3 linked regions of the Drosophila melanogaster genome follow. The protein of the gene in region 3 interacts with the protein of the main gene of each other region in a pairwise test. Each region holds a gene or a part of one and is shown on either strand. Other genes may lie near its edges.

Evidence for each region.
Region 1: the proteins of CG32847 (region 3) and CG32987 interact in a two-hybrid assay, tested with the Drosophila melanogaster proteins (one large-scale study listed by BioGRID).
Region 2: the proteins of CG32847 (region 3) and CG42597 interact in a two-hybrid assay, tested with the Drosophila melanogaster proteins (one large-scale study listed by BioGRID).

Annotation. Positions count from the first base shown.
Region 1 is NT_033779.5:8,861,316-8,866,135, reverse strand, and holds CG32987 (uncharacterized protein), read right to left. Parts: upstream 2,326-4,820; 5' UTR 2,282-2,325; coding exon 1,508-2,281; 3' UTR 1,289-1,507; downstream 1-1,288. Other genes in the region: CG32983 (uncharacterized protein), read right to left, coding at 1-229; CG32988 (uncharacterized protein), read right to left, coding at 465-1,232; CG32986 (uncharacterized protein), read right to left, coding at 2,457-3,329.
Region 2 is NT_033779.5:22,063,316-22,067,872, forward strand, and holds CG42597 (uncharacterized protein), read right to left. Parts: upstream 2,029-4,557; 5' UTR 1,946-2,028; intron 1,882-1,945; 5' UTR 1,879-1,881; coding exon 1,378-1,878; 3' UTR 1,289-1,377; downstream 1-1,288.
Region 3 is NT_037436.4:15,119,373-15,123,497, forward strand, and holds CG32847 (uncharacterized protein), read left to right. Parts: upstream 1-2,199; 5' UTR 2,200-2,249; coding exon 2,250-2,744; 3' UTR 2,745-2,929; downstream 2,930-4,125. Other genes in the region: Cep135 (centrosomal protein 135kDa), read left to right, coding at 3-213, 276-391; CG16959 (uncharacterized protein), read right to left, coding at 841-1,577, 1,692-2,035, 3,252-3,682.

The DNA.
Region 1 (4,820 bases), on a different chromosome or scaffold from region 3:
GCAGGCAGATCAGGACTGCCAGGATGGCGAGGGCGAAAAGCAGCCACACGTACGGCGGAACCGGCAGGATTCTAACAATGCTTATCTTGAGCGACGCAATAAACATTAAGGGAAATGCCGATGCGGAACACAGTAGTACGGCTTCTATGTAAACAGTACGGGCAAACACTAGCTGCACCTCGTCTGCTTCCTCTTCCAATTCCACTTGCTCATGCTGACAACAACTCATCGATCCGAATTTTTTGAGACAGAAATTTCAAAAATTGATGTAATTCGACATTTTGCTAAGATTGTTCACTAGTATTACTGAGGTATACCAATCAAAAACCAAATGGCCTGTTCATTGATTTTCGATGGTTTAATTTAAGCCAACAACATGCACTTAAAACCATTCAGTTTTTATCCAACATAGTCGCAAATACATTTCTAGGCTATTTGCACATCAGCCTCAACATATTTTTTATTCAACTATTAACTAGCTTATAGTACAGGGCAAAAACGAGCATGCAGGAGAGTAGAAAAATAAAGTGTAGGTAAATGCCATTGGCGCAATCCGCAGTCTCCCCATAAGGCACCTGCTGCAGCCTTCCACAAATGAAACGAGCCTGAAATGGAGCCATGAATGCGATCAGGATGACGAACACTATGGCAAGTGCCAGGAGATACCGCATATCATTGATGATCAGGAAGAGTATTAGCAGGACGATCATGGTGACGGTGAGCAGCAGAAAAATGCAGCAAGTACAGATAATGTTGGGTAGCAGAACCTCCGGACTTTTGGCCCCATACAAATGCAGCAGGGCCAGCAGGGATCCGGCAACCAAAATGGCAATCAAAAGGACCCAGACGCGCACTAGATGCATATAATACGCTCCGAACAGGGTGAGAAAGAACAAGGATCCCAGCACCAATCCCCAGCATAACAAGGTCAATGCTGGAGTCTGTGCGATGCAGCCGAGCACTGAGAGAATGATGAAAGCTAATATCAGCCAAACGAACGGCGGCACTGGAATTGCCTTGTAGACCCTCACAGCGAGTGCCGACAGTATGATCCACGAAATGGAAGACAGCAGGCACAGCACTACGGAGGATAGGTACACCCGGAAGATGAAGGCCCGCAACTCCCGCTCGTTGATGACTAAGACCTCCGGTCCCTCCGCAGGAACTGGCTCGCCACCAGGTCTTCCGGTTCTAAGGCCATAACGACCCCAACCCCGATTGCGATTATTCATGTGTTAATCAATTATTTTAGGTCAATATAATGTAATTTTGAAGAAAAAAGCAAAGTAAGTGATTCATTTTCTCTTATATTGAGACTAGGACTTTTCATAATACTCTGGCTTTATTCTAATTGCCTTGCAATGAGAATATATTTATATTTTCTGTACCGCCTAGGCTACACCGCACTAAGTAATTAGACTGGATGACAGTATCCTTTGGTCTGGAACACCATAGTAACTTGCCAGATCGCTAATCAGTTTCGATCACACAGTGACAGCTATTTCTCTCAATCAAAATCATTTTCGAGTGAAATTTTCGGAGCTTCAGATGTTTGTCTGATGGCCTCCTTTCTCTCGTCGACCAGGATGAAGTAGCACACGCAGAAGAAGAACATCATTGAATGCAAGTATAAAGTCAGGGTGCAGACCATGAGGTGCTCTTCGGGAACCACTTCCACGACGTTCAGACGGCCATGGTTGAACTGCGCCTGAATGGGGATCGCTATGATCAGCATCAGGAACAGAATGCTGACGAAGGTGTCGAGCAGCTCAACACTCCCGGTGCAGAGCTGGACGATTCCCACAATGGTCAAGACCAACAGCAGTGCCATCATCAGCAGCGTGGAGCAAACACCGCCGGGCAGGAACTCCTGCGGGCACATGGCCCCAGAGAAGTTGAGTAACATAATGATCAGGGCCACGCCGATCATCACGAAACTGATAATGAGCGGGCTCAAGTCGTGGATGAAATGGCAGCCAAACAAGGTGGTACACACAACCACCAGACCTGTCATGAACCACTTACAGGGAGAGTAGTAGGATATTCTCGGGATACAATGCATGCATATCATCACCAGAAAAATTATTAGAGCCAGGACGTAGCAGGGAAACGGAAGGTACCTCTGCAGGTGAATATGGGTCAGCATGAGCAGAATCCATGCGCCCACCGTAATTCCGATAAGGATCAGGCCAATGTTATAGATGCTGCGGATGAACTGGGTCATTGGGTCCAGCTGCTCGATCGTCGGCCGGATGTTGTCCTGGTGGTAAATGTTGTCCATCCCGTTAAAAATCCTTATGGACCGAGTGTTAAGACTAGGTCTGGCCTGCACCCTGACACTTACCTCCTGGCAAAGCTGCTCACCTTCTATATCTTTTATTTACAAATTGGTATCTTTTCTCATTAAAGCCTTCTTTTTATTTTACACGGACACGTTAAATTAACTCCTATAACTCTCACCATTTGGGAGCCCAGATGACAAAGTAAAAGGCCGCAAAGAACAACAGAAAGTGCAGATAGATGTTGACGGCGCAAATAACGAATTCGTAATCGGGCAGCTGGAATCGCCTGGAATGAACCACCTGAGCATGGTAAACGGATGCGGGTATTAGCAAAGTGGCCAATAACGTGAAGTACACCAACTGGTAGATCCAATTGTCTGTGAAGATATACATGGTCATCACAAAGATTGAGGACATCACGAAAATGACGAGCAGGAGGAACATGGTCCTCTCTCCGGGGAGGATGATCTTGGGTATCCATGCGCCAGCGAAATAGCATATCACAGTCATGGCGGAGGCCACCAGAAGGGCAATGCACACGCGGGAAAGGTTCCGCTCCAGGAGAAGCAGAATAACGCCCAAACCTGCCAGACTTACAAACAACCCGGCCATGATGAAACTATACCAATAAAAACTCCGCAACTTGGTCAAAATACAGAAGACAAAGAGAAACATTAGGGACACCATTGCACTTATGAATCCTGCCATTATAAGATCTGCCTCCGGAGGAATTACCTTGGACAGGATTATGGCAAGGATCGCAGTTGTAGTCGAAAACAATCCAGCCATCATGTAGCAGCGCCGCACAAATATTATTTTCGACGAGTCGCCATTTCCGTTGTCCAGTCCTCTGGAGCCTTCGCCTTCCACAACCGAACGTCGTGCCCTTAATCTACGGGGTGCTAAGCGAAGCTGGTGTATCGAAGGATGCTCGTATCGAACCAAAGTTCCAGGAGCCTGCTCTTGCTGCTGTGGCAAAGGAAAGTTGAGAAGCTGGAGGGCTGGTGGATAGATGACCCAGTCATTTCTTAAACTGCCTCCTAACATTGGGAGCACTTAGAGGGCAACCACTTAAAATTTTGACAAAATATTTATGGCACACCCTGATTGGGTACGAAGACATCCCTAAAAACATAAACAATACTAATACTACTAAAAATTACTAATAGCCAAAATAATACATAGCCTGTAAATCTGATTTAAGAACTGGAAATATTTATATACACCGTATATATATAACAATTATCCTAAGATTAAGATTCGCGGAAGAGATAATTACGGTGACTTACCGAATGCGATGGCATGCATAAATATTTAACATTTTATAAATCTAAGCAGTATTATTCCGTTCGATCAGGGCGGAAAACTCAGCGAGGCATGCGGAATTCCAAGGGGACTACAAAGCCTGCAAGGAAAATGCTAAGTAGCTCCGATCAAAGCTAACAAAACAGCCACAAAGGATGCTTACTCCTTTCCCCTGCCTGCATTGTTTGTTGTTGTTTTGCTGATCGCTTGAGTGACACGCAAAGCAAAGGATACAAGGATACACTGGAGTAGAAAGGCGATCCCGAGATGTGTTTACTGCCGCATCTGCGGCCTCGATCACAATCACTTTCACAGACGGTTGATGCTTGATGGTTGACGGTTGGACGGCATTGTTCCGGCTATGACTCAATCTCAATCAGCTGGCTACGCTTATCCTTGATCCCCGCTAAAGACATGCAAATGCCAAGGCAGCAGGCGATCGGGGAGAATGTCAGTTATCTGGCAGCTGCAGCTCAATGCAATAGATACGCTTGCAGTCGAAGGAGTATAACCCTTGAGTTGCCAATCAAGTCGTTAGCTCGCCTGCTCCTCATGATTGGATTATTGAGTTGGTAAAAAGTGAATACCTTTCGGAAATTGAAAATCAAGTAGCGGATGTCAGTATTAGGATTAGATTCTATTTTCTCTGCAAATTTATAAAACATTTTTAAAGCTAAAAAGAGCAACTAATTTAAAATAACTCATACGACTTGTTTATTGATCTTTCTCTTGCAGATTTCGGCCTTGGGCCACATACATATATATGGACTATTTACTATTCTACAATGGCCCCTTCAGGGCAGGTCAATGTACCATGGTATAACATTTTCGGCTTATATTTTCCACCCACACAACGCTGACAACGATGAAAGGGCCAACGACGAGAGGTCGGGAGGAAAGTGAAAGCGTTGGCAAGTGCTTGACAACAACGACATGCGAGCGTATGCAGTGGACCAGGCCATTACAATCCACATCACCATCCTAACCCCACCTCAGACAGCCCCGGACAAACTAACGGCATTTCCCCCGTCGACTTTTCCCGGCCCTAACTTCATTTGGGATTTTGCATGCGAACACGAAAATGTTCGGGAGCCGCAAAAAGCACAAGCCAAAAAGCTTACAGAAGCGTAACGAACGAGAACCGCCCGGAGATTTGGAGGAGGAAAAGGCAGGGCGGGGCAGGGCAGCGCGGAACAGGGCTGGGAAGCGGCCACCGTCATCCGTGGGTCAGTG
Region 2 (4,557 bases), on a different chromosome or scaffold from region 3:
GCGACGATATAAAGTATATATATTTGTAATCGGGATCAATTGGGAACTATAAAAGATAGAATGTTGAGATTCAGCGCAAAGATTCAAGAGGCACAGACCCATACAGTCAAATGTGTTGATATTTTTTCACATTTTTATTAGTCTTGTAAGATTTGAAATTTTTTAAAAATTTTGCCCATTTATTCCCCAACATCTATCGATATCCCAGAAAAATTTAGAAATTTCGCGTTCGCAGTTACTCTAGCTGAGTATCGGGTATCTGAGAGTGTTAACCCTAACCATAACCTGTTCTTTTTTGGTATAACCAAAGACATTACAATAGTGCCTTTGGTATAACCCACATATTTATACCCGTTACTTATAGAGTAAACGGGTATATTAGATTCGTGAAGTACGCAGAGTATGTATTGACCATAGAAACTATATATTTTCTTGGTCAGGATTACCAGCCGAGTCGATCTGGTCATGTCCTTCAGTCCGTCCGTCTGTCTGTTGGAACACCTCGATCTCAGGAACTTGAAAAGCTAGAAATTTGAAATAAGCAAGCAGGTTCCAGAGACACGCCCACAAAACCGAACAATTTCTATAGATATGTCAAAAAATACTATTGAACTTTCTTAATCACACACCAACTATCTGAGTAAAGGGTCTAAAATACTAGTTTGAAAAACTCAACTTTTCTCTTTTATCTCAAATTTTTTGAGTTTCGTGTTGTAGGATATACAATACATTAAGTAAACATAAGTAGCGCTTTTTATTACATAATGGCCCAAGAGAGAGTCAATCGCACATGTGTTCTTCACAGAGTTCGAGCCACTTTCTATGTTAATTGTTTGGTGGCACAAATGTTACTAATTACACCCACACCTTTAGCGCAACTGCAGCTTATGTTTCTCGAATTTTCTTGCCTAAGGGATCACGGATGTCCTTTTGTATAATAACCGTAAGACATGATTTGTTCGAAATCATTTTCTCCAACGGTAATTATTTCACTCAGATTCCATTTAAGCGCGCCCAAACAGTTAAATGTCTTACAAGTTTCCGCTCCCACCCGTGACATATTTAATTGCCCTATGGCTTCGAATCGAGACATTAGAAAAACCTGTTGTTCTTCTTAAGTAAAGGTCGTATGCTAACATTTACAAAGGTGCATCGCATCCTTTTGTGAATATCGAGCTTCATTAAGCATTGGGGTGCATAGATATCAAAGACTATATTTGACTATTTCACTGTTAAAAGAACAAAGAGATGGGTACTTGAAATTAGAGATAACCAATTTTTTTTTTTTGAGCACCCTTTTAATAAAAAAGTGCACATAAACTAGAAATGGTATCCCAAATTAATAGAAGGAACCGAAAACGATGTGGGTCCTTTTGCTTATTTAAAAGATTTCTGTTTGGACGAAGGACGACTTTGTTGTGTGATGATTCTCCAAGACTGTTGTGCCATTTTCCAAACTTTGGCCGGTCGATTTGTAATGGCACCCACTATCACTAAAAAGATAACTCCCAATAAAATCGTGCCGATCTCCTGGAAATTAGTGTTTGTACGGCTGCCCAGGCCCAACCAATTGGTTATAACATTTATAAAGTTGACGAGAAGCGTTTCCATGGAAAGCCATACGCCCACCATCAAAGTTTCGCCAATAAGGATGGCGATAATGGTCTCAAGGATAAACTTTCCCCACCGCGGAATGTTACTCCAGTGCGTGGGTATTACCTCTGTGTCGCACAGCAGATCCATCACTGATAAATAGAATAACTGGCTACCAAAGACGGGGGTGTCTGCAATTATACCCGGATCTAGATGTATGAAGAGCGTTGTGTGGAGCACCATGTGCACAACGAAGGCCAATAGAACAGGCGTGGGACTGGTCATTTCCTTAGAAAGGGATATTGGTTAACTATCGGGTATTGCCTGTATATAGACGTTAGAAGTGACTTGCCTGCGCGGTCTTGTAAATATGTATAAGTTACACAAATTTAGAATGAATAAGGTAAAAAAAACAAAACACATTGTTTTGTTTGTTTCAATTTAAAATGCTTGCTGGGTCGGAGAATAATTCCTGTATTGCGTTGGCAAGTTAAATGAAAACTTTAGGGACTTCAAAGTTGAAAACCAGCTGAACTCGTGGAAGACTAAAGCAGATAAAAAATTGATTGATTTTTATGAAGTCTACCTTACCTTTACCACTACCTTTTAAAACGGATTATACCTACTCCCTTATCTTTTGTAATATGTAATGTCAATATCTTTATGCGAGAGGTTAGTACGTGCTTCATTGTTCACTTTGCCTGTAAAAATTGGCTTTGGCACTGAATGTTTAATTCTGTCAGCTAAAAAATGCATAAATATCATTTTAATTAGAAAATTAGCCGAAAATATGCAGCTCACGTTAATCGTATGACGTCGTCGTCGTTGCTATAGTTGCAACATGGAAACGAAACTGAATCGCAATTGAAAACTTAGGTGGAGGGGATACGAATCTCATGCAATATCCAGAAGATACATCCCCAACGCACTCACCTCGAATGCGGAGCACCACTTCTGGCTCCACTCCGTGCTCCTAATACCGGAAATCATTTGCATTTTACTTAAATTAGTGTTTCTTGCAAACAATTGCTGTAGAATTATTTATATAGCAGTACCATTTAATTGTGCCGCCATTTTAAATTCCAATTAGATATCCAATGGAAGTCCGGCCAAAAGCCAACATCACTAAAAAGAAATTGGAATTTTTATCAAAGCAAGGAAGTCGTAAGCTCACTTTGATGAAGTTTTGTCATTTAGCCAAATAAGAATACGCGTACTGCTCGCCAGACCCACACAAAATGGTTCGCTTTTGTGTGCGCATATTTTTTTTCTCCTGCTAACTCAGTCACCTGTCGTGGATTCTAGCTTATTACGGTTTTTTGTGCTTATTGAACAGCCGCCACCAAAAATTCCAATATCAAAACTCATATTTGCCGATGTCGAGCGAAGCAAATTGAATGAGGAACACTGAACAGCTGCGAGAATTTAACATATTTGTAATATTACAAAAACTGCCAGTTGAATATCCGGTAGTTTTAGTATTAAAAAAAAGTTCATATAAATATGATTCCTGCTGAGGCCTACCTATGATTCGCATTTTTGAATAATTCATCGAATTTACAATTAAACTTTTTATACCCGATATTCGTAGAGTAAAAGTATAAAAAAATGGTTGAGCGCTTACGGACAAGACGTAAGATCGCAAATAAACTGGAGTCTGGTGGCAAAACAGCACATGCTTTTGAGCGATTATTGGCAATTCGCACCATTAAATTGAGCAAGGGAAAATGTTCCGAAGACAGTGCAGAGCAGACGAAGTCTAGTGATGATTGCAAGGCACAAACGCGTAAGGATGTAAATATCGAGGTCAAAGAGACTTATTCCGGCGATTCCTCGCCTAACAGTGAGAGCGAGAATACAGCCCAAAACGATCCGCAAACGAACGTTGAAAGCGATGAACGCGTATCCAACCTGGAACAGCTGAGTCGAGCAGTGTTAAAACGGAACGACATAAAGAACTTACTGGGTAAACCTATTTTCGCGGAGGCTGTGATTGGATCCTTTGTGCGGCTAAATGTTGGAAAAGTCTACTCCATCTACGAAACTATTGCTCTGCATCAGGACAGTAAGGACTACCGGGTAGACGGTAAGCGTACCAATCTGATCCTGGTCTTGAGGTGCGGTTCCGAAAAGCGTTATTCACGTATAGACGTGGTTTCAAATCAGCCAATTACACAAAAGGAATTCTTGTTGTGGTTGGGAACCAATCTACGCCATCGATGCACTTCACCAACGCTTAATGACAACGCTTCCAAATTTTAACCAAGAAACATAAAAAAATAATAAACTTATAACATTTTCGAAAATTGTGGCCGCTGCGGCTTTTCTGTGGATTGTAGGCGTTATGGTGGACGCCGAGTGGGTGTGACGTTAGAGTGGGTGTGCCCAATATGTTTTTGGTATATCGATACCCGGTACTCAGCTAAAAGTATGAACGAGATATTTTAATACTTTTTTGGAACAATATGCAAAAAAGAAGATAGAATGCTATAGTCGACTTCCCCGACCATCAGATACCCATTACTCAGCTAGTGTGAATACAAACGCGAAATTTCATAATTTTTCTGGGATATTGATAGATATTGGGGAATAAAATGAGAACACATTAAAAATTGTTCAAAAGTGTGGGCGTGACCGGTTTGGCGGCTTTAGGGCGTTAGATTATACGTGGAAAATGTTTTTTGACAAATCGATGGAAATTTAAGCAACTTATAAAATTATGAACAAATATCGAATAATTTTGCCGAATTTAAGGCGCTAAAGTTGGAGTGGAAAAAAGTTTTTTGGCAAATCGATAGAAATTAAGAAGACTAATTAAATTATGAAAAAATATCCAAAAAAAATTCAAAAATATGGGCCCGGCAGTTTTGGACGGTTTATTTATTATTTAAATATATATTTTTTTTTTGCAAAACGATAGAAAAAGTGTGGGCGTGGCAGTTTTGTGCGGTTACAGTTAAGTGG
Region 3 (4,125 bases):
AGCATGCTCAACGATCAAAACGAGCGCATCATAGCGGATTATCAGAGTAAACTTTTGGTGGCCGAGCGTCAACGACAGTCGGCGGATGTTCGGGCCAGCACCTTGGACTCCAGTCGGGAATCCAATCGCAGCGAGGTTACCCAACTCCGCATGGACTTAGGAGCTCTGCGGCAGACCTATATATCGTTAGAACACGAGAAGGATACGCTTCTGGTAACTTCATTTAATAATATATTTTCTAGAGATATTAACAATATTGTTATTTGCTTCACTAGCATCAATTGGATACCAAAACTGAGCGGGTATACAAACTGGAGTATGAGCTAAAGGATTGCAAAGAAAAACGGAATGCCCTAGAGCAGAATGTGAAGGACCTGGAGGATCAATTGCGGTAAGTGTGAGAATTGTTTAGTTTGTGCTTCAGAACCCGATACCAAAGAGTTTCAGAATAATTGACCTATTTACAACTCAATTTTTCTGCTAAAATGAAAAATATGTTATATTTCATTTCTAGACTCTATATTGTTAGTCTTTCAAATTCTTTTATTTCCCTTATCGTGATTTTCCTTAAATACAACTCGTACATTAGTCGATGTAATACATTAATGGCACTGTCTCATCCTATCGAACACGTTAACCGAATATTTCTAAAAACCACCTAAAAGAGAACAAAATGGTTAATTGAATAACAAATGATCGCATCGATCAATAAACACTGAGCATGCAAACACAAAAACAAAGGGTAATGGAGGTAATATAGGGTAAATTAGGTGGGCATGCGGTGAAAGAAGAATAAAAGTCATCACAACCGGACAGAAAATAGCTTGAAGATTGGGGATTTTAGGTGGTCCCACCAAGGTGCAGATCATTGAGAAACTTCGAGTTGAGTCGCTCGTTGGTTAAATACCTCGCCAGGCTGACACTTGGAGCGCTGCAGTTGCTCATGCCGCGTTGATCCGACTCCGAGGGCGTATAACCCGGTCGGCAGACGCACTTGGCCCGACTGGCGTGGACCAAAATTGAGGTGCCATTCGTGGTTTGCGATTTCAGTGGCTCTAGCCACTGACCCGCGCCGCAGGGTCCTCGGCTATACAGCTTGTGGCACTGCCCATTGATCTCCACCATTCCGGGCGTGGACTCGCATATATTCTGTTCCTTATCCGCTCCATCTCCCGTGCACTGCTGATCCAGATTGGTGAGGACACCGGAACAACCGCACATTCCATTGTAGGAGATGCCATCGATGGATGGCCTGGCGGTGAAGTCGAAGATCACCACCTGATGTAGGGCACACGGGCCTTGAGATCCAATCCTGTAGCAAGAATCTTCCGCTGGGAAGTACAGGCGATTCTTGCCACAGAAGTTGCGCACACAGCTGGTTCCGTTGACCAGGAACTCATTGGGTCCACAGGGACCCCTTGTGTACAGGCGATAGCAGATGCCATCGCTCCAGGGCACATAGCCCTCCTTGCACTGGCACTGGGCACGAGGCAAAAGCTGCAGGGTGCTGCCCGTTGTCTCCTGGACCTCGTCGGGTATGCGAAAGATGTGACCAGGTGGACAGGGGCCAGGAGTGTCTGAAAAATAGGAGAACATTAAATACGATATAGGAGAAAATTATGTTGAGATAGAATTTCAACATTTCCAAGGCGGTAATTGCAAATTAACGGGCTATGTAATCCCAATCCTACCCAGCTCATAGCACATTTGATGCGGAGCATGATAGTGCGGCAAGTGCCGCTGGCAGTCGCATCGACCGCCGGGCAAGAAGATGTGACCCGGCGTCGAGCAGGGTCCTTTGGTGTAGTGCTCATAGCAAGACTCCTCTGCCGGATAGTAGAACGAGGCCAAGTCGCCCACATCCTCGCAACGGCACTCGGCCAGTCCCTCCTCGTTGCGAACGAGGAGTTTACCCCGGCTGCATGGACCCTTTGCATGCCTCGCATAGCACTTGTTGTCCCTCGGCCAGAAGAGCATGTCCTCCGGGCAATGCAGCGGTCGCTTGCACGTACCCCAACGGTTGCCGGTTGCGGTTCTGGAAAGGATTTGCCTATAGTTTAGTTAACTTTTAAACATTTAATTGATATATACGGCACACATCATCCTATATCAATGATCGCCTTGAAGTGAGAAAGTCTGATAGATAATTGTTGATATCACATGAACTGTTAAGATTACTTCATTTTATTTTGAGAAGACATTAGACTTAAACAAAATTACCTGCGCTAGAAACACACACATCGGAAACAATGTCGGCTGATACTTTCGTAATGGACACCAAGGATGAATCGTTCTACGAGTGTAACATATGTCTAGACACCGCCCAGAATGCCGTGGTCAGCATGTGTGGCCATTTGTTTTGCTGGCCATGTCTGTACCAATGGATATTGACGAAACCCGATCACACAGTGTGTCCCGTTTGCAAGTCGGGCGTGGATAGGAGCAAAGTAATACCGGTGTACGCACGAAATGATAAAAGGCAGGAGGATCCGCGGGATAAAACACCGCCGCGTCCAACTGGAATTTGGTCGGATTACGCAAATGATCTCGAGTTGGGACTATTTTCGTACTTGCTTTTTGGTTTATTCTTTCCATATGGTGCCCTATCATCTTATCTGGATATGGACGAGCCACTCAATCCTGCTGCTGATCACGGCATAAGGGATGGGCAGAACGAAACACTCCTTTCTAAGTTCTTTCTCTACGTGGCCATTATGCTCATTATTTATATGATTGTAATTTAGCAAGAATAGGAATAAGATCAAAATAAACCATGATGGTGCAAATGAATCAGTATAACCGGGAAGATGTCGTCCTTTACAAATTATGTTCAGTGAAGTTTTCGGATAATTAGTCATTAATCTTTTTAGTATTGTGTAGCATTATGTAAAACAAATGTAATGAAAAGTAAATATTCAAATGCACTAGGAAACAAAACTGCATTTCATGTTTTAAACACGACAGGTTGTGTCGTAAAAGTAAAAACTGTATGTGAATGTACATACATAGGTTCTTGATGAACTTTCGTTATGCATAAAAACGAGATATCAAAGTAGAATGCTTCCGTTATTGCTTAAGTGCACCAGAACTTTCTCTTAACTCTTGATTAATGTTGAAACCCGAGTTTCGCAATCGAAATCAAAAGTTTCATACGACTAGAGAACAACCTGTAAACCTTCAGTGAAGTGAAAATGCGAACATGGCAGTTGCTTAATTCAAATAGTTTGAGCTAAGAACCGAACTCAACTCACCTCTTGACCTGATCCGGCACGGGTTGGAAGTACTCCTCGGGTTGGCAGGGTCCCCGTTCGTATAGCTTGTAGCACACATTATCGTGAAGCGGACTGAGTGCAGTTCCCGGAGGGCAGCGGCACTCGGCTGCAGGTGCATCCTTACGCTTGGCACTCACTGCGGTGGGACTGAGCTCCATGGTGGCCGGACATGGATAGCCGAGGGTGAAGATCTTGAAGCACTTCTTCAGAGGTGCCCAGTACAGCAGCTGCCAGCCACCGGACATGCTGGCGCACGGATTCTGTGCGGGATCACTCCACGGAGGCGGCACTATTCCGGCTGCCACCTGCTGCGGATTCTGGCCGGTGGTCAGTAGGAGGAGCAGGCAGGTGAGGATGGAGCTGCCCGCCTGCAGAGCAGCCCAGCAGATGAGCACTTTGCGACGCCTCATGGTGAATCTGAAAATCGAAAGTGTTTGATAAGTAAACCTATCCACACATCTAATCAAGAAATAATTACAATGGAGTTTCAGAAAGCTACATTTTATAGGATTTCTAGGATGCTAAACACCATATATCAGAATTCAAAGAGCTTTATGAAAGTGTCAACAAATCATAATATCGTATTGTGCTGGACCATTATTAATCGATTTGTATAATCAATAGGTTTCGGCATTTTTGAGGTTCATTTATAACGAATCGTTTGCGTGAAAATTAACCCTTGACGTTTCGTACTGAAATGGCAAATAACTTGAATTTAAGTCATTAAATTAAATTAAATTCGAGCTAGAGTAGACTTCCCCCTGCTCTTTTCAAGAAATCGGGGGTGGAAGCTACCATTAAACCTGATGATGGATGACTTTTCCATTGTGTCCGCTGCTGTTTAAAAATCAAT